Mytilus edulis: one gene and its partners. The protein of the gene in region 3 interacts with the protein of the main gene of each other region in a pairwise test. Links are inferred from orthologs where the notes say so. Each region holds a gene or a part of one and is shown on either strand. Other genes may lie near its edges.

The links.
Region 1: the proteins of cAMP-responsive element modulator-like (region 3) and CREB-regulated transcription coactivator 1-like interact in binary tests that used the Homo sapiens proteins (3 or more experiments, as listed by UniProt). The link is inferred for Mytilus edulis from reciprocal best matches to the Homo sapiens genes CREB1 and CRTC1.
Region 2: the proteins of cAMP-responsive element modulator-like (region 3) and testis-specific serine/threonine-protein kinase 4-like interact in binary tests that used the Homo sapiens proteins (3 or more experiments, as listed by UniProt). The link is inferred for Mytilus edulis from reciprocal best matches to the Homo sapiens genes CREB1 and TSSK4.

Annotation. Positions count from the first base shown.
Region 1 is NC_092347.1:28,357,452-28,366,163, forward strand, and holds the start of CREB-regulated transcription coactivator 1-like, read left to right. Parts: upstream 1-5,461; 5' UTR 5,462-5,511; coding exon 5,512-5,622; intron 5,623-5,737; coding exon 5,738-5,854; intron 5,855-5,979; coding exon 5,980-6,108; intron 6,109-7,291; coding exon 7,292-7,353; intron 7,354-8,712. Other genes in the region: monomeric sarcosine oxidase-like, read right to left, coding at 1-8. UniProt on the Homo sapiens protein: Transcriptional coactivator for CREB1 which activates transcription through both consensus and variant cAMP response element (CRE) sites.
Region 2 is NC_092348.1:65,301,809-65,309,803, forward strand, and holds the start of testis-specific serine/threonine-protein kinase 4-like, read left to right. Parts: upstream 1-4,247; 5' UTR 4,248-4,375; coding exon 4,376-5,074; intron 5,075-7,995. Other genes in the region: uncharacterized protein, read right to left, coding at 572-697, 1,180-1,403, 1,793-1,900, 2,586-2,637. UniProt on the Homo sapiens protein: Serine/threonine kinase which is involved in male germ cell development and in mature sperm function. May be involved in the Cre/Creb signaling pathway. Phosphorylates CREB1 on 'Ser-133' in vitro and can stimulate Cre/Creb pathway in cells.
Region 3 is NC_092345.1:72,166,956-72,175,290, reverse strand, and holds the start of cAMP-responsive element modulator-like, read left to right. Parts: upstream 1-4,467; 5' UTR 4,468-4,614; exon of another isoform or gene 4,615-4,875; intron 4,876-6,915; 5' UTR 6,916-6,927; coding exon 6,928-7,104; intron 7,105-7,829; coding exon 7,830-7,912; intron 7,913-8,335.

The DNA of each region.
Region 1 (8,712 bases), on a different chromosome or scaffold from region 3:
TAATGCATCTATGACATATCAGTTTACGTAATATAAAATATACTAGTCATCAAAAGAAACTTTACAACATTATGTGTATTATATATCAGATTATTTATAATTTAATATGATATCTGATTAGTAATCATATGTCTGTTCTATGTTTCATTGGAATTTCAAACAAAGACGAAGAACAGGATATTCAATAGCTGTATTGGATAGCTAAACTACTAAGTGTCTTTACAAACAACGGTATATTTTTTGGTCCTCCAAATGCTCTACGAAACCTTTTTCAAAATTATTAACATCAATCTTATCAGCAATCAAAAGCGGGCTTCAAACTTATTGTAACCCCACCTATTCTAGAGTTGGCGTGAATCAGATATAGATACTACAAATTTCAAAAGATCTTTTAGAGTACATACAATCTAAGACTCTATCGTCTTGCAATAGTATATTTAAACATTTGACTTTTCTATTCTTTACTCAAATATTCCCCATTATAAACTAGAATACAAATTGAAAGAGTTGGTCCTGCTTTGTTTCATAAAAAAAATGGCCAACGTAGAAACAAATATCTTATCTTAGGGAGGGATACATCCTACTTTGTAAAAACTCACTCTGATTCTAACAAAACAAAACTCTGAAACTGACATTATCAAGATGCTTGATTTTTTTCTTGCCAACAATTTGTTTCGTTTGGAAGACGTGTTTTTCGATAAACAATCGGCATTCCCATGGGAACCAACTGTGTCCCTCTTCTTGTCGACTCTTACCTTTGTTCAAACATGAACACCTTGGAGAAAAAGAAAAAGAAGTTACCAGTATTCTTTACTTGTAAGCAGTATTCTTTAACTTGACTTTCCGCTACATAGATGATGTTCTCTCACTAAATACGGGTAATTCAATATTTGGTGACCATGTTGAGCGCATCTATCTAATCAAAATAGAGATAAATGATACAACGGATACAGTTAAGTCTGCCTCATATTTTGACTTACATCTAGAAATTGACAATGAGGGTCGGTTGAAAACAAAACTGTGAGACAAAAAAGATAATTTCAACCTCCCAATTGTGAACTTTCCGTTTGTATGTACAAACATTCAAGCAGCGCCTGCATACGGAGTTTATATCTCCCAGTTAATACGATACTCCAGGTTTTGCATTTCCTATATTTTTTCCCTTGATATATGGTTAATATTCACTATAAACTTAGTCTTTAGTTTTTTTTATGTTATGTGTGTGCACTTTTATTTGTCTGTTGGTTTCTTTTTCTTTTTTAGCCTTAGCTACTTATGATTTTGAATGTCCCTTTCTTAGCTGTCGCCTCTCTTGTTCAATGAGTCAACTATCCACCAGGGTACAAATGATGTCGCTGTAAATATTCTTCAGTTGCTTAAAAAAATGTGAGTAAACAAATATTACGGATCGTATTAAACTTATTTTACAACCAGCAACCCTTGTATGAATCTGATACTCTTCTCCTATTCTGGGATGACGGAACAGAATTAGTCGAGTTAAGACGAGTAACTTCTTTTTAATTCTGGGATGACGGAACAGAATTAGTCGAGTTAAGACGAGTGACTTCTTTTTAATTCTGGGATGACGGAACAGAATTAGTCGAGTTAAGACGAGTGACTTCTTTTTAATTCTGGGATGACGGAACAGAATTAGTCGAGTTAAGACGAGTAACTTCTTTTTAATAAGAATAAGAATCATATGTATTATTCCAACCAAGAACCTTTGATGTGCAGCATGACATAGAATCATATGTATTATTCCAACCAAGGACCCTTGATGTGCAGCATGACATGTACAAATAAAACAATACATTGTGATTTGTAACAGAAAAACATTTTTGTTATACATTGAAATGAAATATTAAAAGTTCAGACAGATGTTATTATGATAGCGCTACACACGTTTCTTGTCTTTATTTTATATAAGTCCTTTAATTTAATTGTTTTCTGTTAAAAATATTTCAAACTCTACATCTTTTCAGTTGACGAGTATATATGTTTAATGTAAACGTTATAGTTTAATGAAACATGTCAGTTTAACCTATTTAATACTTATGGATATGGGGTAAATACATGTATGTAGATATATACGCTGTATCAACCTGGAAATGTAAACAAAGGATTTAATAGTTAAATACATGTGTGCACCGTATATATATATATATATATATATATATATATATATATATATATATATTGTGTTAATGTTAACCATTGATTTATTTAAGTTGAAAGTTGTGAAAGCAAACCTGTTTAAAGGATTGGTTATGGAAATTTTGACTAATAGACAATCAGTGTTGTAAGATGCTGTGCGTTATGACTTCATTTACCCTGTAATAATTTAAGAGTTATAACTTTTTCCTAAAGCGTTGTCACTGCTTCAGTTGACTACAAATCGAATTTGTAGAAAATCTTACAAAAAAGTATCGGTCCTAATATTAACAGGGTGCATATTTTTTTGAATCGACTGCATCATTGTTTCATTTGGTGCATTTGGTATTACCATTGGGAAAAGTGTGATGAACCGTTTTTCGTCAACTTGTTCCAGTTTTTGCATAAAGAAAACATAAAAATAACTCGGAAAGGGGGGGGGGGTAAATTAAGCTAGCATCGTTCATTAACGTTTCACGATATACAAGAAGAATTTGTGGCCCTGAATGCTCCTAACCTTCGTACTTAATTTGGTCTTTTTTTAAACTGTTATGGAATCGAGCGTTACTGATGAGTTTTTTGTAGACGAAACGAGCGTCTGGCGCAAATACACAATTTCAATCCTGGTATATATGAGGAGTTTATTTCCTACCTGATTCAAAGTTCAACTACGCTGGTGGCATCTATGTCATTGGACTTGAAAATAAAAGTTACCACAAATACAGTTAGATGTATCAAGACTTAGACAGGTAGAAAGAAATCGGCAAGGAGAATTTTTTGATAACCGAAATGCGAAATGATGCAAATGAGCTTTCAATTTTATGAAACAACAATCTAGCAACACGTGTACAGGATACATATTTTCAAGTTGACACGGTATAGCATGGCATTAATTTAGTTCCTATTAAAAAAGTCAGCGAAAGACGATGGCTACTGTTTTGATGGACGTTTTGTAACCTTGAAGTAATTACTTAGAAAGTTAACAGTTTATATGAGATGCCCCTCAATTTCTTTCCCAATAATGTTGGTCTTCTCTTTTTAGAAAGAAATATTTTTTAATTCCGGATTAGGAATAAAAAAAAAAACCTCCGATCAGAACAAATTAAGAATTTTGTTAAGAACCTTCAATACAATATTTGTAAAACAGTTTAGTGCGTCCAGAGTGATTTTCTATGTTTACTTTCATCGGATCGTTCAAGGATTCGGAAAGGAATCCAGAGTTGATTGTTCAAAGGAGTTGCAATCATGTCATACACTGAAGTAAAAAGTCGAATGTTATAGGCGCGTGTTTGATTATTCGATTGATTGTTCTCTGCTGACTGTCAAGCGACAAGTTGAAATTATAAAAAAATATCTCAGGTTTTGTTTCAGGTAGATGACGGATTGACAATAATCAAATAAATAGGTTCTGCAGAATAGATTGACCAGAATGAAGGGTTCGAATTTCCACTTACACTGGGGAAGAAGGGTATAGACATGGACCGAAATTTTCTAACATTGTGGATAACAGAAAGAGTCGTTGCATGGGTTACTAGTAATATATCAAAGGTAGTTCAATATACCAGACGCGTGTTTCGTCTACATAAGAATCATCAGTGACGCTCAGATCAAAATTGTTATATAGCCAAACAGTACAAAGTTCAAGAGCATTGATGACCCACGTGAAGAGGGTGTAGCACTCTCCCAACACTGGGCATCTTATTAAACGTCCACATTCCAATCGAATGATTCTGTGAACTTGTGCATCCGACTATAACCAAACTAACGCCCTTCTTAAGCATATGTTTACTGCTATATCATGGAGGTCACACATGTCCATACCCAAGTCAACCTCTGAGGTTTATTCAAACAAATAAATAAATCCAACCTCAACTTAGGTTCAGAAAAAAAGGTCGATCGATGGAACGAAGGATAGTCGATTTAGACTACAACTTTGTAAAGGGGATACTTAAATTACGTTATATTGGATCCTAGAGTATTGAGTGACATGCTGCATAATCAAACGAACACTAAACACCCCTTCTGTGCGAGTTCTACGGTTGGCGATATAGGTCTCGATGGTCACATTTATATAATTGGTGAGGCAGTAAATCACGGTCTCACTGCAATAATGGAGCTACGCCAAATTCAAGATATGCTTGTCAGTCCCTGTCTATATCAGCCACTGTCGAAATAAGAAGATATGTCTTTTAGTCCACGTCGATAAAAGATATGTCTATCAATCGCCAACAAAAGACTATAATCGTGGCTAAAAGTTTATTGTATTTTTGTTTTACTAGTATATATGATGAATTTTCCGTTGCGTATTTAGATTAAGAGTGTCGGATATTGTGAGCAGTAAAAACGAAACGTTCAGTGCTTGGATTCTGAAGGTCAGCATGATAAATTTGAAATGATTATCACCTTTCGGTTACAGCCGTCCAAAGTTTTTAAAATCGTCAAGAACTGCACACATTCCGGGCAAAAAATGAAAAGCATGCAGTTAAATGATGACAGACCCTTCACCGTGAACATGTTCATGACCTCGGACTGTTATAAGGATATGACCTATTGGTATTCTGCCAATATTGGGTGGTGTTTTCGGTAGGATCATTTATTTATATCTATTGCTAAGCATTTTTTTTGCGTTTTAGTTGGCAGATATTTATCATTTCGATTTTGTACAATATATTATTTGTCAGCAAAATAAGCTAAGAAATTTCGCTGATAACTTATTCACTTGCAAGTGAACAATTCGACCTCATTGAATCCGTATTCATGTGACCTTTAATTAAATCCCTCAGCTAGAGATTGGTTACGCATGTATTAAATGGGTGTTTAGCCGCTATAAATCAGTCCACTCGGGAAATGCATATGAGTGTCAGCATTGCGAAATATTATGTTGAAAGTGAAACTGCGTTCCTTTGGTTATTTTAGTATATTTCAGGACCTCCACAATTCGATTTCAGAACATTATTTAATCGATAAACAATATGAACAAAATATGGCAGAAACAAACTTGAAATCGTCTTTTCACTAACTGTAACCTAACGGCCAGTGGACGAACTGGCAGTGTGGCCGAAACGTCTCGATAGCTACATGTAATCTCAGATTGTATGATAACATTAAATATAAATGAGTTCGAGATTTTAAATCTTTATATATCATTAATATGACTGAATTTTTAACTGCTTAAGCCTTTTATTGTTACTGATTTTCTTTTAAATTATGAAAATTCAGCATTATATAGATTAGCAGGTGCTTGTTGTGCTGCCACCTATCAAAGATCACATGTATTACACGGATGGATTTGATTGGATAACAATAGATTAGGCCCCCTGCGAAGTCAAAATCATAACAAGCTTGTCCTTTTCTGCCATCATGGCGAATCCACGGAAGTTCAGTGAAAAAATAGCATTACACAATCAAAAACAAGCAGAAGAAACTGCTGCTTTCGAGGCAATAATGCGGGATGTTACGCCTGTTACGAAGGTTTGTTATTATTGTCGCTTGAAACGCCTTATCGGTAGCATTCTAATTATGTCGACTAATGAATCGTGTTTTGTCAACATGAAACTAATTTTCGCTGTTATTTATTTATATGTAGGTCCCGTCGATGCAAAAGCAGCATCTTCAACTCCAACAAAACATAAGTACACAGTACAGAGCCGGTTCCTTACCAAATGTCAACCAGATGGTGGCAAATTCCGGTATAGATCTACAGGTGAGATATTTACGATGTTGACATAACTGTCGTCTCGTGTGATTATTGTTTACATTTTATAGATTATGTTAATGAAATATTATTGTTATGAAACATTATTTGAATTGTTATCTTTTATTTGATAGAGTGCATTTCAACATTTGGATGATTTGAGACAGATGCCAAACCGGATGGACAGTAGATTCCATGCAGTCAGAGACAAGGGGAGACCACTCGGTCCGCACAGACGAGGATTTCCAATTGATAAAGCTAGGGTACACACAGTTTATTAACTTTAACTTATATGTTTTTTCACATCTAGCTAACAGGTTCTTTTGGGAAAATGTCTTGTTTGACTCAGGTTGATGTCACACTGACATAATTTTGAACACGAGTTGTATATGAAAACTTCTTTGATATTTTAGTCTGGAAAAATATCATTAGTTTCCCCAATTCATTATTGAGTCCAGTAAGTCAGTTATTTTTAATAAGCACAATGTTGATTGGATGAAGTTAACTGGGTAAATGCATATTACTGCTCGGCATCATACTAGTTGATATTAGATAAATTAGGACTTTCAACTAGTTTTCAGTATTGAAGTTATTTGAACAAATCACAATATAGTGTATTGCTGATTTTGGTGCAAATGGCATGTCTATTTCTGCTTGATTTATTTAAAGATGGCTGTGACTTAGGTTGGATAACTGATTGACATACATGCACATTGCATACACATGCATATACATGTACATATGTACCATGTACACTCCTGACAAAATGATTCCAGCAATAGTTCCAGGGCATTATTATAATTTGCTGCAATTTGTTTTACTTGGCCTAAATGATTTTGCACAACATTACTCAAGATAGAATTATAAGATAAAAAAGTTACTGGAAATTTTTATTTACTATAATATCTGACATGCTTGAATTTATGGCCAAATTGTAACAAGACAATTACAAAAATGAACTTCATGTAGGTCACATTAAGGGAAGCAGTGCCAGTAATGCCACTTCAATGACTTTTAAATACATGTATAAGATTTCTTTAAATGGTGTGATTGTCAGATTAAGTTTTTATTAAATCATGGCAAAATGTTGTGTCTTTTTTGGGGTCTCAAACTTGATACAAATTCCTTGTTATTGTCCTTTTAGGTAAAATTTCTACTGGACAAATAAATCTCAACAAACATTGTTAGGATTAATAGTACTTTCTATTTGATCACTAATTGCACCATTTGAATACACCTTTGTAAACATTGATTTTTTATAGCTATCATGTATCTGGTTCTAGAAAAAAAGGCACCACTCCTAAACAGAATGATTTAAATTAAGCTAACTTAGCCTTCTTATTTTATTCCCATGTTACTTGATTTTTGCATACAAATTTCCTAAGTGGCATTGAAGGACCTCTTCTGAAGTGATAAACAGTTGTAACACAAATACTTTTTTTTCAGACAAATTGTTCCCCTTATGGATCAGCTTACTTGTCACCACCCCCAGACACCAGTTGGAGGAGGTAAGCAACAATCAATTTTCTGTTTTATCAGTTGCTTTAATTTAACTATATACCAGTCTTATAATACTAATTATTGAGTGATCACACACTATATATGCTTGTAAAGTATTTGAATATTATAAGGTTTGATTTACATGTAACACAAGCAAATGAATATTTTTTTTTTGCTTTTGTGGTATTGCAATGGAATTTTAAATCACAGTTATCCTATATACTTAATTTCTCATGCAAAAATCAATGGTAAAGCAAAATCTGGGTTTTATATATATTCAAATGCAAATTTCTTATTTTAATGGGTAAAGAGGTTCTTTTGCAAAATAATTATTGTTCATTTGCCTTAAAGTCATCGTTCCTCTTAGAAGGATCAATACTGTAACCATCAAATATTAATTTAAACTGAAAAAGATTTAAATGGCTTGACCAACCAGACTAGAAATACTAAATATAACATAAATACAGTCTTGCAACTAAGCCAGAGAAATCACATCAAAATGATGTTGGGCTTATCATCTGCACCACTTAAAAAAACACCATAATTTCAAATTAAACTGTCACTCCAATTAAAATTTGTTAGATGACAGGAAGCACATGTTATTTTATCCTGATCCACAAGTGGTAATTGTTGCATAAATGGATTAATAGTAAATACACAGCACTGCCTCCCCCTTTTTTGAGAGGTTTTATATAAAAATTACCCTCCTTTTTATAACATACTATATAAAAATGCATTTACGTTTGATAACTATATATTGATTTGGGGTATGTATAATCTTCATTTCATATATGAATATGCTATTCAGAATCTTAAATTATAAATAGTCAATGTTATACAGTGCTCTAGCTAGAATTCAAAAGGGGCAGGGTGCCAGTGGAGGGCAGGGCACTTTTTTATGATAGGAGAAGGCACTGCTCATTTTTTTTTTGTCTACGTCCCTGAGTGTATCACGATTTCACATATTTTTTTTCTGTATATATTGTTAATAAAGATGCATAAGTTGTTGTTTTGATTATTTATTCTATAAAATTTGCATAAGAAAAGTCATTCATACTACATGTTCATAAAACATGGCAATACACATTCATACTATTAACCAAAAGAGGCAAAATAAACTTACTTTTCTCCCCCACCCCCTCTCCTTCCAAAAGAAAGATCATAAACTAAACATCTCATAGTTTACCATACATGTACATGACAGAGTACTTTAAAAATTTCATCTAGAGCTTGGACCTCAACACCTGTTTTCATTGTTCATGTTCAGCAATATATTATTTAGTGTAGCTTCATCAAGTTGATTTGTGATGAGAGTTTAACTGCACACTTTCAGATTAGAAAGTACATAGCTTGGACACCTGTTCAGA
Region 2 (7,995 bases), on a different chromosome or scaffold from region 3:
ATGCTCAATTATCATGCTCACCCTTCCGGAGCACCTGGTATCACTCCCGGTTATGGTTGAGTTCGTGATGCTCTGTCTTTATTTTTCTATTTCGTATTTTGTATGCTGTTGTTTGTTTTAAAGTATTTTTTACTGTTTTAGCCATGGCGTTTTAAGCTTCATGATTTTCGTCTAATGACGTTGGATGTCCTTTTGGTATTTTTCACTCTTTTTTGTAAAATATAATTTGTATTTTGCGTTCTAGACTTTTTATCACTTTTGTCTTCCTTTATATATATCCTTACTGTTGGTTGGTGTGAGTGGAGGTTATTCAAATATTAAAGTGTCTTTTTTAACCTCTGATAACTGTTAATTGTCATAAACCGTTTACGGTTCTAAAGCTGTAATTTATGGACTGCTGCTAGTAAATAAAGATCACTTTGGACCAGGTGAGCTAAACACGAATGTATCTGCAATGATATCAAAATAGTAAATATGATAATAAATGTTGATCTCATTGTTTACTTACTCCATTTGATATATATTATAAACATGCAAGTGAATGACGATAAAATAGAGATATTATACCTACCGTAAACATAGTAGGTTTTTCTCTGATCATTTTCAATGTTGCGTCACATCCGGAGGAATGACACATCAAAGCTGTAGTGTTCCATGCAACTGTTCCTAACGTTTTGTTTGTCATATAGTGTTGAAGCTAAAAAGCACATATAAATGTAGTATGAAGAACATTTCATTATGTTTAAAGCCCAACTGAAAAGGAAATAATACATAAAAATGAGAACAGAATTATTAATGATATTATAGACAATATAAAAGACCTCATTAACAAAACAGCCAATGACTCCGAAAACAACAGACGTACATACGCATGGTCTATGTAGTCCGACTAGGTAAAGGCACGTGTTGAGTAAAAATTTGTTATAATTGAGGGTGAAACATTTCAAAGACAAAGAAAGTGAAGTGTCTGCACCAGTTTTTTTTTTTGTTTTTGTTTTTTTCTCTTGTTCAGCGTATTTTTTTTTATACCATAGCGAATGACTTTGAATTCGTCAAAAAACGGATTGGGACCAGATTAGAATACAGGTGTCTTTTCAAAATTTACATTTTTTTTTTTGGTTATAAGTAAGAATATATCTTAACACATTTTCTGCATGCAATCCGAATTAAATTACTCACCCATGCATGTTGTTCAAAGTACTTCGAAATATCCTGTTTTAATTCGCCAGCATTTATCAAATTTTGTTTTTCCAATGGAAATGCGTAATCTATTCCAAAAATAAAGAAACCATGGGAGGCTATTCTTGAAAGTACAGTTTCATAGTACTCAGCCAACACATACGTATCGAAACCACCAATAAACAAAACAGCCGGGTAAAATCCGGGTTCTAGTGGGAAATAAACTAAAAAGAAAATATTTTAAGTGAAAATTAGTAAATCTATCTTTCAAACTAACAACTTAGAATTATACAAAAACAAACACATAATAGACGATTTCATTTAAGAACAAAACAATGAAATATTTTACAGATCTCATTAAAAGTAGAATTATTACAATTCATTACATGGTTTTTACGTATAATTAATACGTGGCCTTTGGCTGTTGTCTACTCTATGGTCGGGTTGTTGCTTCTTTGACACATTCCCCATTCTCAATTTTATACAAAGCTAACATGTTTGGGAATTGTCCTTTACATTTTGCTTTTGAATCTATTGACTTTGTGGTAATGTTTATTATACTGTTTCTTGTTGATCGATACTTCTCGCCGATCAAAGCTGTATAGTAAGTTACCTTTTGTGTGTAAAGGACTTTTTTGTCCGGTTTTGCTTAGTGTCAGTCCGCCAACTTTTAATGGACGATCTGTATATGGGTTACCAGTATCTACGTAGGTGTTAATACCTAAAATACAATTTGGAGTTAGTGCAAAACAATAATATTTCATTTTTCTATCTACCCAATGAGAGGATTGTATGTATTTTACATACAATAAACGAATTTTAGAGCAATTGTACTCTGGGCATATGTTCTAGTACTCAGTAGTATACAAAAAACTTCACAAATGATAAATAAAAACACCATATACTATACAATCCATATTATCTTAGCCTTTTCCTTACACATGTTATATATTTCTAAGTCAAGTGTACGTACGTATGTTAAACATTGTCTTATGACAATCGTCGTGCACGTGTTTATTTTGTGTATATTGGAGGAGGCCTACGACTTGTTAAAAATGCTTGTTCTGTCCATTTTTTTTTAATTTCGTCATTTTACAAAATATGTTCAAAAGTAAAGTATCTATACGATATGAAAATAACAATAGAAACAGGTTCGTGGGTTAGTTTTATTAATTGTCATTAAACATTTACAAGGTTTGTGGCAATACAATTTTAAACAAACAAACTAAAAAGAACAAAACAAAATAGTATACGAAAAGCATTCAAATAGATATAAAAACATAAGTTTTATATGTAATGCCACAACAAAAAACAAGCAAAAATCACCAGTGCAGTGGTGTTCAAATTCTGTATTCCCCCCATTTTGCTAATTATTTCTTTTCATCAATACTCATAAAAATACTCACCCAAACATATAACGCAACGAAAAAGCAACCCGCAAAATACATAGTATTGCATGGTGTCAAAATGTAAGCTGTTGATACAGACGTTGTTTGTTTGATAATCGGGTTATCTTTGGACGGTCAGTCCAGACGAAGTGATAACATAATTAATAAACAAAATTTATTATCTGAATATTGAATCAGTTTCAATGATAAAATGAAATACGCAAATAATTATTACATATATATATATATATAAAAGGAGCTGTGGTATGATTGCCAAAGAGACCAAAATGACATAGAAATTTAAAACAACTATAATTCACCATATGGACTTCAGCAATGAGGATAGCCCATATCGCATAATCAGCTATAAAAGACCCCGAAATGACAATGTAAAACAATTCAAACGAGAAAACTAACGGCCTTATTTATGTACAAAAATGAATGAAAAACAAATATGAAACACATAAACAAACGACAACCACTGAATTACAGGCTCCTGATTATATTATAATTACTTCGTCGTATTACCTGGTGCGAAATTGTTAAGAATAGAAACTAAGCCGTTTTTAATTTTGTTATTTTTCACAATTCAGTACGTTAGTTTTTTAGTATTTACATTTGGCATGTCGGGGCCTTTTCATCATTATATATAGTTAGATATGAGGTATTGTTTTTGCCCATTGCTGAAGGCCGTATGGTGACCTATCGTTTTATATGTTCAGTGGACCGTGAAAATCGAATAAAATCTCTAATTTGGCATTAAAATTTTAAAAAATCATATCATAGGGAACATGTTTACTAAGTTTCAAGTTGATTGGACTTCAACTTCATTCAAAACTACCTCGACCAAAAATTTAACCTGAAGCGGGACAGACGGTCGAACGGACGGCCGGCCGGACGCACACACAGACTAGAAAACATAGTGCCCATAAATGGGGCATAAAAATATAAATAGGTTCCTTACATCCCTAGCCGAAATAAATTGTTAAAAGAAAAATTACTATCTATCTATTGTTCTTTCGGGTGTATGATGTCCTTTTTTCTCATCGGGTGGCCTTCGATACACAATTTTTAATTCATGTACAATTTGAAATAGTGTACAACAAGAATGTGTCCAAAGTACACGGATGCCCCACTCGCACTATCCTTTTCCATGTTCCATGGACCGTGAAATTGGGTAATAATCTAATTTGGAATTAAAATTAGAAAGATTATACTATACATGGGGAACATATGTACTAAGTTTCAAGTTGATTGGACTTCAATTTCATCAAAAACTACCTTCACTTTCATTTTCTATGTTCAGTGGACCGTGAAATTAGTGTCAAGCGAGACAAGAAAACAAGTGGATCGTAGCAAACATAATGTTTGTTTCGATGGGTATTTTCGCCAGTCAACACATGATTAATGTCCTTGCATAGACCATTTTGGGATATTGTTTTTATCAATATGTGTTTTTTATCAGTCGAGTTCTTTTCAGGTGAAAATGTATCCTGTGCAGATATGAAGTATGGATGATTAAATGTATATCTTGTTTCTTTACTTGAAAATCAGTAGAAAAATGATTTACGATAGCTTGTCGATTAGCGCCGATGTTGCTGTATTATGTAGTTTGAACATGACGTTAAAGATGGTTGAGACGTTTGTGATATATACCATAAGACGTCCTTAGTACCGCTTGTGACGTTTGCATATGTCTGTAACTACAAGATGCCTTCTTTGCACGAATATCAAACGTCTACAATGAAAAATGCTCTTGGTCGCAGAAATATCAACATGGACTTCATTAATAGTGAAATTTAGAAAAGATGAGTAATGGAGAAGACAATAGAGTGAAAACACCAGCAGAAGCTATTTCAGTTTCCTCTGCAAAAAGCAGAGTTCTACATAAGCGTTTCGCAGTTTTGGAGTCACAAGGATTTGTAGTAGGAAAATTTCTAGGTCAAGGATCATATGCATGTGTCCGTGCAGCTTATGATGTCAACAGAAAACACGAAGTAGCGGTCAAAATAATTTCGAAAAGGAAGGCACCGGAAGATTATTTAGTTAAATTTTTACCGCGAGAAATCGACGTGATCAAAGTTTTGAAGCATCCATATTTAATTCAATTTTTCCAAGTAATAGAAACGACAACGAGATTTTTCTTAGTGATGGAATGTGGCCATGTTGATCTATTGGATGTTATACGTTCACGAAAAGCAATAGAAGAAGATACTGCTGGAAAATGGTTTTATCAAATGTCACAAGGTATAGGATATATGCATAGTAAAGGAATTGTACACCGAGATCTCAAATGTGAGAATTTGTTGCTTGATAAATATGAAAACTTGAAAGTCACAGATTTTGGATTTGCGAAGAGACTTGTAAAAGGAAAATTAGGAGAAATTAAACCCAGTGAAACATATTGCGGAAGCTATGCATACGCACCTCCAGAAATTTTAAAAGGATCCCCTTATGATCCTATGATTGCAGATGTTTGGAGTATGGGTGTCGTTTTATTTACAATGGTAAGTAAATTTGAAGAGTATTGGTTTTAAAATAGAATCATATTCAAAACAGTGTGGCTGTGGCCATTGATTGACGACCTAAATTATCCCATTGACTGGGACACTATAAGGTGAACGCTTGTCTGATACGATCACGGCTCACTATGTACTTATTAAAGACACTTAAACTGTGGGGTCACCAAAGGTTCTCAACACCTAAATAAAGTAATTCGAAAAATAATCAGGAATAACACGATGTTTTGATCTATATCAATAATATAAATCAAAACATAAAAGTTAATCGTGATTAATTTTTCGAACTGTTTTATTATTAAAGGCGCTAAGAACCTCTGATGACCCCACGGTTTAAATTCTATAATAAGTAAGTAGTGAGCAGTTGTCGTTACAGACAAACGTTCACATAATCTGTCCCAGTCAATGGGATAATTTAGGTCGTCAATCAATGGCCACAGCCACACTGTTTTGAAAATGATTCTAAAGTCATCTTTCTCGGAGTAGCGATCTTTAATCCGTATTCTCAGCTCAACACTTCTATTACCTATAGGCCAGTAATTCAAGAACCATACACCTTTTTACCTCTTTAAACAAACTTGAAACTAACGAATACGAATACGAAACTGTTATTTTGATTCGGTTCACATATATAACAATACAAACATAACCTCGGAAGAGCTTTTTACCGAATATAAAATAACATTAACAGATCATTGAAACACACAACATGCAGACAAGATATATAACAGAACAGGCATATTGAAATACATGCAGACCACTGTCAGCACTAAAATACATATTTGAACAAGCCAAAACTGAATCACAACTAAAATTTTAGCACAACTAAAATCAAACACAAATTAAAACATAGCACACATGCAAACTTTAAGGCAGCTCTACTGTAGCGTTTCTGTGAAATAGGTTTTTGCTTCATAGAAGTATTTGTAGTTATGTACATTGTGCAAATTATTTAAACTTGACTATTTGATAGGTCTATTATTTTAATTTACTTGAAGTATTTTGTTAAAAAAATATTCGTCTTCCCCCCTTTTTGTTTTCGTCAGCAATTCAAGTTCATTTCTAACTGTTTTCATTTAAAGAAACTTTTAGTAGAACTTTGATTTTTGAAACTTAAAGTTCTAAAATTGAAAATAGTCACCTACAATTATAAAGATTGCAAGGTTCTTTTTATACTTTATGACTTGGGTGGACGGTTGTCTCATTGACACTCATACCACATCTTCTTATTTATAAGGGTTTAATAGCTTGTAAAAATAGTTTTGCATTTCATTTCTCCTGACAATATAACTATTTCAAATTTGTAATCAAGGTATCAAACCTTCATGCAAAGTTTTTAAAAAAGACAATCAAGAAAAGCACTGCCACAAGTGACGATGCTATTCTCCAAGAAACTTGTGTAGTACTTTACAGAAAGTTTGTGCATAGTACTATCTTGTTGTTTTACTTCCGGATTAACTTGTATAGATAAAACAACAAGATAGTTCTATGTACAAACTTTCTGTGCAGTACTATATGAGTCTTAAAAAGTATTTTTGTCGGCTCACTTCGGCCATCGTTTAAATGACTTGTTGGTGTATTTCTTCAATTCTTCTGTGAAGAATGGGCAAATCATGAAATAATGAAATTCATCGCCTTTGTCACTTTTACGTATGCGATATTTTGTTTTCTCCCTTTGAATGTTTGCTCATCTTCCATTCTCGATATCGTCCTGAATATGCATGAAATATTTGCCACTGGACGTTAAGCAACCAACAATCAATCAATCAATCCATTCTCGATAGAAACGTTATGATTGAAATGCCCTTATCTTCAAAATGTGAAGATATCTTTATCTCCAAGTATGCTTTAAAATAATCTTTCGAAAGTTTATGTTTCCTTGAAAAGACGATAATTAATAGTTTTAGATTAATTATTAGCATTGGCTGTAAAGTTTGTTTTGAATGATCTAACATTTAATCCAGTTGTCAATATGGAATAGTTGATACCTCCGTTTTTAGGAAAACCCATACTAGTTAAATTTATAATGTTTTCAACCGAAATAACCAATCGGAACAAAAACCATACAAAGTCTTGTCTTAAAGTCAGCATTTGATATTTAAATTTAAAATCAGTGTATCCCAACATTTTGCAACCATATTACAAAATCGGATTGACAGGTTTTATCAAAAAGGTTAGTTGGACAATGAAAGAAAGATTATGTCAAGTCCTGGTTTTATAATTTCATAATTGCTTAATTGCATTTTCTGCTAATGGGGATTTGCATAACATAAAGTTTCCATTTGTTTTAAAAGATTACTCCTAGATAATAAAGTCCTTTACAATTTCAATCGGTATCGATAGTATCTGAAATGTAGATTTTTTATGAATTCTTCCTTCTTAAATTCAATTGCCTTTGTTTGTTTTTTTGTTTTGTTTTTTCTATTTAAAATTTATGCCCAAAGTACAACAATATTTGTCGAATTTAATCTAAGATTTCTGCAACTCATTTGACAATTTCGCTATTTTCATTCATTCTCCAGCGTACAGAAACACAAATAACCTCACATAAATTCCAAACCTAGTTTCCACGGTATACTTATTTTTTCTAGACATGCCTTCGGTTGTGATTTTTACTCTTTGTTCGGGTTGATGTCTCTGTGACATATTCTCCATTTCCATTCTATATTTAATCAAGAGGCTTAAGTTTAGTCGTCATCTTGTTTGTGTGTGTGTGTGTGTTTGTGTTTTATAAATTAATACGAAGCCTCTGATCTTTGTTAGTCTTGTGTGTTTTATATTTTATTTTTTTGTCCAGTTATATGTTTCGGAGTTCACTATAACATCCATATTCACTTTTTTTCACAATTATGTAAAGGGGACAGCTGAAGTCCACCTCAGTCAAAGTTCGGGATTTTCCTGCTTTGTTG
Region 3 (8,335 bases):
AGTACGAAGACGACAAGATGGAACTACGACGGCAATAAATCCAGCTAAATGAAAGTTAATTTTCGCGCTAAAATACATTTAAAGTGCCATGCGCGATATGAACTGGTCAGTCCAATACGACAGTTAAGAAAGACGTTCACAAAACATGGAGCTCATATTATATGATTCTATGAGAACAAGAAAGGCAACAGCGTTGTTTCTATTAATTCAAATGGAACAAGAAGATCAGCTATTACAGGCTCAGGGTTTACTTTTACAAGTAAAATATTATTTTTTGTCAATTTTTTATATCAAGTAACATAATTAAAGGTGACAAATAATTTAGAGTTTTTAATTTATATTAGACAATGTCGGAACATATTCAATTTCTTCTATTCACAACAACAACACGAAAAGACAAAAACGTTAGTTATGATAAGAGCGATATGTTCAGGCCTTTTCCATCTGGATTGTTTCATATCATTACATGCTGGGGTTCCTTTAAATAAACGCGCCTCGTACACAAACACTGCAGGTACACGTATATAGGGAAACCAACTTTTTATTTATTATTCTGATTTTTTATGTATCGTCTGAGTTGTTGTCACACGAATGTTTACTCCATAACCATTTTGTTTTCTATATGTCATATTTTGCAGCCTTTGTTGCTTTCACCACATCCTTCCTTTTGTCTATATTATTGTGATATTCTCCTGGAAAGAGCTCTTTTTGAATAAAAGGGATCAACGAACCCATTACCTTACCTTTAAGACAGATCAGTAAACATGGGCATAATTATGGGTGATTATTCAGACTAGTGCACACATTTTACAGTTCAAACAAGGCAATGCCGAGCGTGGCATCCCCTCGTATGTAACATATTGGGGACAAATATGGACACTGTATTTGTATATATGACACATGCAGAAAATGGTAAATTGAATATGCATATTTGATAAATAAACTATTTTTTTAGAAATCAACCAAAACATTTAGTACCTGGAAATACCTTTAATATTGTCTTTAGAACCAGCAGGTAAAAAAATGAGCAACCAATTTCCTGGGTATTATGCTATTTCAAGGAGAAAAAAACAAGTCCATCTACATGACCTTGACCTTTGGCCTTGAACGTAAAAAATGTCAGATCATTACAAGGAGGAACAATATACCAAATGTGGTTAAAATCTTTTGAAGCATATTAGTTTTAGAGTGTCCACAAGGGGGATATTGCCTTGTATTACAACTGCCACTGTGACCTTGACCTTTGAACTTTAAAGTCAATAGCGCTTAAGATATTCTTAACGAGTAACACCATACCAAGTTTTGAGCATTTTGGTTCCAGAGTGTCCATAACAATTTTATCTACACGCAACTTACATGGAGTAGGCGAGGGGATAATAAACTAAGTTTTATAAGAATTAGACAAAAAGATTGAATACCCGCCATGCATGGCAGACTTGTACAGGAACGATATGTTGTCGAAATTCTGTTCGTATTTTTTAGACATCGTATGGCCATCGCGCCATCATCGTAATCCATCGTGTAGCCTTCGTAATCCATCGTGTAGCCTTCGTGATCAATCGTGTAGGCTACGGCTGAGATATGAAGCTTAAATACCCGTCTTCGGCTAACCTTCGTATGTCCATCTTTTGCTATCGTATACAATTTCGGCACCATCGTATAAACTTCGTTATTCGTCGTACTTGCTTCGGTCACTTTTTGGTATTTTAACGAGATCGGGACCAACTTCGTACGAACTTACAATTTCAGCATTCGGGTGTCCATCGTATATAAAAATCGGGACAGTGTGACGCGGGCATTACAGACAAACGTTCACGTAAATTGTCCCAGTCAATGGATGATTTTTAATGTGTCAAACAATGGCCACAGCCACACTGTTTTTATTTTTATTCTATGTTATCATTCGACATTTAATGCTTATTTCCAATGGGTATCGTCCGGTTTTACCGTACCCAATCATGGTTGGGGTAGATCTCTTGAGGTGTAGTAAATGCTTTAAAAATTTGAGATGAACTTGTTCAATAATGTGTTTTTTTCCAAATCCCCATACTTCACATCCGTATAGAAGAATTGGTTTCATCAGTTTGTCAAATAACTCTAATTGGCATTCAATTGATAAATTACACTGCCTCCCTTTTTTGATAACGTTGTACATAGCTTTTGTTGCTTTTTCTGATAGTCTTTTCTTTGCTTTATTGAAAGATCCGGATCTTGTTAACAATAGTCCAAGGTAGTTAAATTCTTTCACTATTTCAATTTCATTTTCTTCATAAATGAAATTAATATTATTAGGCTGTCTTCCTTTAGAGAAAATTAAAACTTTATAGTCTTAGATGTATTTACTTTAAGTTTCCAAGTATCACCATATTCACCGAAGCAATTTAATTGCATTTGAAGGTCTTCCTTTGTTTCTGACATTAGAACAGTATCATCGGCATATAATAAAACGAACAGCTTTAAATAGATATTGAGGCTAGTTTCAGGGGAGTTCGATATTGATGACAAACCTTTCACATTATGTGATAGAAAAAAAAAGTGAGGTCATTAATTGATATATAACGAGAATAATAGAGAGGAAAGATTTTCCCCTTGTCTAACTCCAGTGTTACATGGGGAAAAAATCAGATTTTTGATTATTGTATATAACTCTTGATTTTATATTGTTGTACATACTATGTATTAATTAATGTATGCATTGTTCCATCAATGTGATTCAATGCCATCTCCAAACTGTGTCGAACGCCTTAGCAAAATCAATAAAAACACAGAATAACTTTTTCTTTTGCGATCTAGTTAGGTCGAAGAGACTTTGTAATATAAACATGTTATCTGTTGTTGAATATTTTTTCCTAAAGCCACTTTGATTGTTATGTATTATTGAAAAGTTTTCAAAATATTTCGTTAATCGTTCATTTAGGATGGACGTAAACAGTTTTCCAAAACAGCTAAGAATAGTGATTGGTCTATAATTTTGCGGATCTTGTTGATTTCCTTTATTTTTAAATAAAGAATGTATATTTCCAGATAACCAACTGTCTGGTATGATTCCTGTATCAAATATAAGATTGAATAACTTTACAAAGATATTAACGATTTCTGTTGAAGCACACCGTGACGTAGCTTTGAAGAATTCGTTTATAATCAGGTCATCACCGCTTGCCTTGTTATTTTTCAAGATTTTTTATATTTCTTATTATTTCATCGGGCGTAATCATTTCATTTAATAAATTATTTTCGATATTTCTTTCAATCTCTTCGTAGTTTAGCTCTTGTTCTTCTTCTATATTTCCTTGATTTAAATTTTTGAAGAAATCATAAAGTTTTTCAATGAAATATTAGGTTGTTTCTTCCTAGAGCCTCCATTTAGAATTTTCCAGTACTCTTTTGAGTTCGTGTTTTTCATATTTTTCATATCATTTCGCACATTTTTCCTATACTTTTTTATATTTCTGTTCATGGTATTTTTGTATTGTCTTTCACTGCGTTTCATATTCATGGTTTACAATGAATTTGTTTAATTTATATTTTCTTCTGTATTTTCTCGCATTTTCCCTAGCAATTCTACAATCTATGTTAAACCATGGTTTTTCATCTTGTGATCTTGTACTCTGAGGGGTATTTTCGTTCTTTGACTTGTTTTTTAATGTTCCGCATGTTTTCTTTGCAGAAGTAACAAATATGTTCGTAATATTTTCTACAGCTTTGTTAATAATGTTTGAATCAGCATGAAAAGATTTGGTTTCTTCAAGATAATTTTCTAATTCAGAAATCTTTTCTCTGTTTAAATTTATAATAAAATCTTCTTTCTTGTTTATATCCCATTTCTTTATTTTCTCTCCGCTCATCGAATTAATCGGCACAGATCCATATTCACATGTACATTTATATATGTCGACATCTATATCTATAGGGCTGTGGATATCGGAATCATATAAACAACTAAAATCTAAAACTTTCGAATTTGAGGCAATTAATTAATTACTATAGTAATTAGAGTAATTATAAGATAAGAAAATGATTTGTAGCCTATAGTTGGATAAGACAATATCAATTTCATTAACAAATTTTGGCCCCCTGGGGATCATAAAGATTTTAACAAAAAATGAAAATCCAATAAATGACAGAATACATATCAAATTACATAATATAGGACTCCCCGTGAGACACCCGTGTATTTCGGGTGACAGTACTTTGAATCTTTCCTGGCGAATTACTAAATACCAAACCAGCTAACTACGCCGCAATAATAAAAACACATGAAACGTTGAAATTGAAATTTATGTATAAACCAACAGATTGTTAATTATTAAATTTGAAAGAAAAATAATTCTTTAAAAAGTAATTTATCAAATTCAGTTTGAATTTAATCAAATTTTATACCCGCAAGATACAAAAAAGTAGTACGGTCTATATTTGGACAGTATGACGTCATGTGAGATAAGTTAACCAATCAGGTATCGTGCAATAGGAAATCCACGCGGATGAATATATTATTCAGCAGTTTTGTTGTTCCTGATTGTGACGCTGCAGCCAGATTTTGACGTGGCGACTACGTATTCTGCAAATTTATCCACTCCGATTACTGCAAAATTGGTGACGAAAAGTACGTAACAAGTAAGTACTCCACTGACGAAACAAAACAAACAAGTTGATAACAGAGAATACGCTTATCTTCGGAGGGGATCATTATTTTCAAAACGATCAAATCAAATTTTTGAATGTGATTTATATCACAAAAGGAACTTTGTGAGAGCAACAACAGCTGACTCAGAAGATTAACCGGAAGAAGCAGATTGTTGATGTACCTTGTCCCACTCTGGAAATCGGACTTTTCAACAAGTAAAAATAGAACAGGAGAATGCAGAGAGAATATGGGTCAGTTTCACTAAGCAAAATGTCAGAGAAGCAACTCAGCATATTTTACTCGACATCAAATCTAAAATGCATTACCCAGTTATATTTCAGTTCAAAATAAAGAGTAAACAGATCTAAACAGTATAGTTTATTGTTTATATCATGTTTATAATGGTATACATTATATGATTATTATTAGACTACTTATATTTGTCAAATTTAACATAAAATAAAATCATAATTTGTTGTCCTGCAAAAATTGTCCAATCTGACATCAAACATGCTTCTTCTTTCTTCTCTTCTTCTTTAGTTAGGGAATACCATCAACTTTTTGAGGATTACTTTCCGGCGCATGCCTGTATGAGGTTGATTTAGTGCACACCACTATCACCAGCCATGACATTACTGTGTTATTTGTAAAGGTCTTATTGACAATTGGAAAATCAATGACATTGAGCCATTGGAATTGACTCTTAAATACTCTTTTCTTTTTATGGCATTATTTTCTCTTGCGATAAAAAACTGATTATAGAATTTTACGGGAACATCAGTGGTCGACAATAAGCTATTCTGTTGGTCCCATAAGTACACCAAATTACTTCAAAGTGCAAATATTTCTCACCACTATTATTTGTCCATCCATTACTGGTCATGCAAACATTCCAGTCAAAAGAGATGTTTTGATGCAACAAAACAGGAGGAACATGTACATTTATGACATCAATACATTTAGTTCAAGTGTTTCAGAGTCTAATTTAGCTATAAGGTCTTTAGACATTATTTCTATTTGGAAATCTGCTACACTGGATTTTAAACTGTCATACAACAATCCCTTTAAAAATTTTCCATTTTGTGGCAACCTTTTTAAAATTTTAATGTCCAGTATAATTGGCAGACAAATAATGATAAGATCATATATTTGGTTCAATGCATAAATCTTAAAATCAGTCGTCATGTTAGAATTTGTCATCAAAATCCTCAGAATTTATTCCCCTTGATTGTGTATCAGATTTTACCTCTTTTCATTAGTGGGGCGATTTGTCATGCTTCTCAATTTATTCATATTATTTTTTTAAATGTATACTGGTAAGCACTTCTGCAATTAAACAATATAAATACTACTAAGTCTATTTTGGTCCACTGACTGCCTAAGAGGGGACCTCCTCCCATCATGTTTCAGTGATTCCCTGTATTACCAACCAAAAGGGGGGGGGGGGGGGATTGCGAAATTGTGACATACATGTACAACAATATTGTGCCTCTTTTCCATAGAAATTAATATTGTTTAGTAATCTTGTGTGTACATTAATTTGACATTTCTTGTAGGATAAATATATTTTAGTTATTACTCTTAAACAGATAAATTATATGCGTTGGTGATTATATTAAACAATGGAATTGGAAAACTGTTCTCTTATTCCAATTTCATGAGCTGTAAATCATTATCTGGTTATTAATTGATACTATTAATGATATCTTATATAATTTGCATACATGTTTGTCAAGCTATTGTAGTATAAAAACAGCACTCTAAAAGTTGGTCAGGTGATTTCTTCCATGTCCATTGCAACCTTCACTGGTTTCAGCACAAATTGTTTTTGATCCCAGACTAGGTGATGTGTGATTCATTAAAGTTGTGTGTAACTACAACAGATGACAGTTTTATAGTTGGGTGCATACAATGTAATTTAAATTACCACCATATGCATGTACCAGTTTTATAGTTGGGTGCATACAATGTAATTACCACCATATACCAGTATACATTGTATATTTTGTCAAATGCTAGATTCTTTTCATTAAAATACACGTTTATACTTATGTTTGTGTAATGTATGTTATGTGTTGGCAGCTGGTCAAATGTATGTATGTGTTAATACTGTTACAAATACAAATACTTCATTTGAAACTGAAAAAGATGGTCTTTTTTCTATTCATTCTATTTGGAGTATGTGATAGAATATTTCTCTTGTTCTTGTGGCACTGTGCCACAAGAGAAATATTCTATCACATACGGGTGGGCACTCTGATTTATCTTAGTTTCATTATTATATTTTTCAGAGTCCGTAAGAGATGACAGAGGTACATCCATCTCATCATGCTCATGGAGACCTGGATACTTCCCAAGGCTTATCTGTTGTACAGATGTCCATGAATACACCAATCCAAGTACAGTCCGTTATACACCCAAATCAACCCTCAGTCATTCAAACAGCTGGACCTAATGTACAGACTATACAGGTTGTAAGGGTAAGTTTTAATCCAACAGACTAGAAAGGGAAAGATATTTTTAAAATGGATGTACAAATGTACATGGTAAAACAATGAAGAAGGATTCTAATGCAACAACGTTTGTAACGTTCTTTTTGATTGGATATCGTCACTTTCTTACATGGCATCAATTGACAATTGATGCTATGGGACGTACGCACAAGCGCAGACGGCATATGACAGTTTTTAAATACATGTTTTAACGTTGTTTTCTGTCAGTTTCATTAGAATGGAGATAACAATATTGTATTTTAAGCTCCGACGGCATCAATTTGGGATTTGATGGTTGCAAACACCCGTTTATTGTCTCCGCTAACGCGTCACCAGTAAACTTAATTTGCGACCATCAAATCCCCAATTGATGCCATCAGAGCTTAAAATACAATACAGTTATCTCCTTAATAACAAAATAAGTAAATAAACAGCGCTATTGTCATGATTGTTGCTGTGCTTCTTTTTGATATACTTGTATGTACTTTATATGATAGGCCATGGATAAGCACTTATCCTGAACATTTGAAGACTACTTAAACCATCCTTGAAAAAATTTCTAGGAAAAACATTTGGTTGGTAAATAATATCAACATTTGTAAACATGCAAGTAAATACATTTGTATTTTTGTATACATTATTAATTTTCATGTAAATTATTTTATTGTTTCTGTTACTATCCTGATATAATTTGTTATGAAATATTTGATTAGGTAGCTCCAGTAGATGATGAATTGACAGAAGACCCTGAAGGAAAGAAAAGACGAGAAATTTTGTCAAGGAGACCATCATATAGGTAAATGTATTTTTAGCTCTGTGTTGCATTGTAATTCTATGTGAGCTGTTGTCATTACTTTTATACATGTTTAACCTCAAAATTCATATTGTGTCCATAAAATGGTGTGTGTCCGTTATTTTATGCACATGCCGTAGCGGAGGGTGCATTAAGTGTAACCCTTATTTGTCTGTCGAGTATGTCCTTAAACTGGTTTGGTTTTTGTTTGCCTCAAACATTTATACACAAATACACAATGCTTATAAGTATAAAACACAAATCAATTTGGAAGTTAGGTGGCATCACTTTTACTGAAATTGCTGAAATTTTCATTTGTTTCTCTTACATAAGTCTGTCTTAACCAAATGTTTTGAAATTTATACACAATGCTTATTACCACTACACACTGATAAAACTTACACACAATGCTTAATACCACAAAAC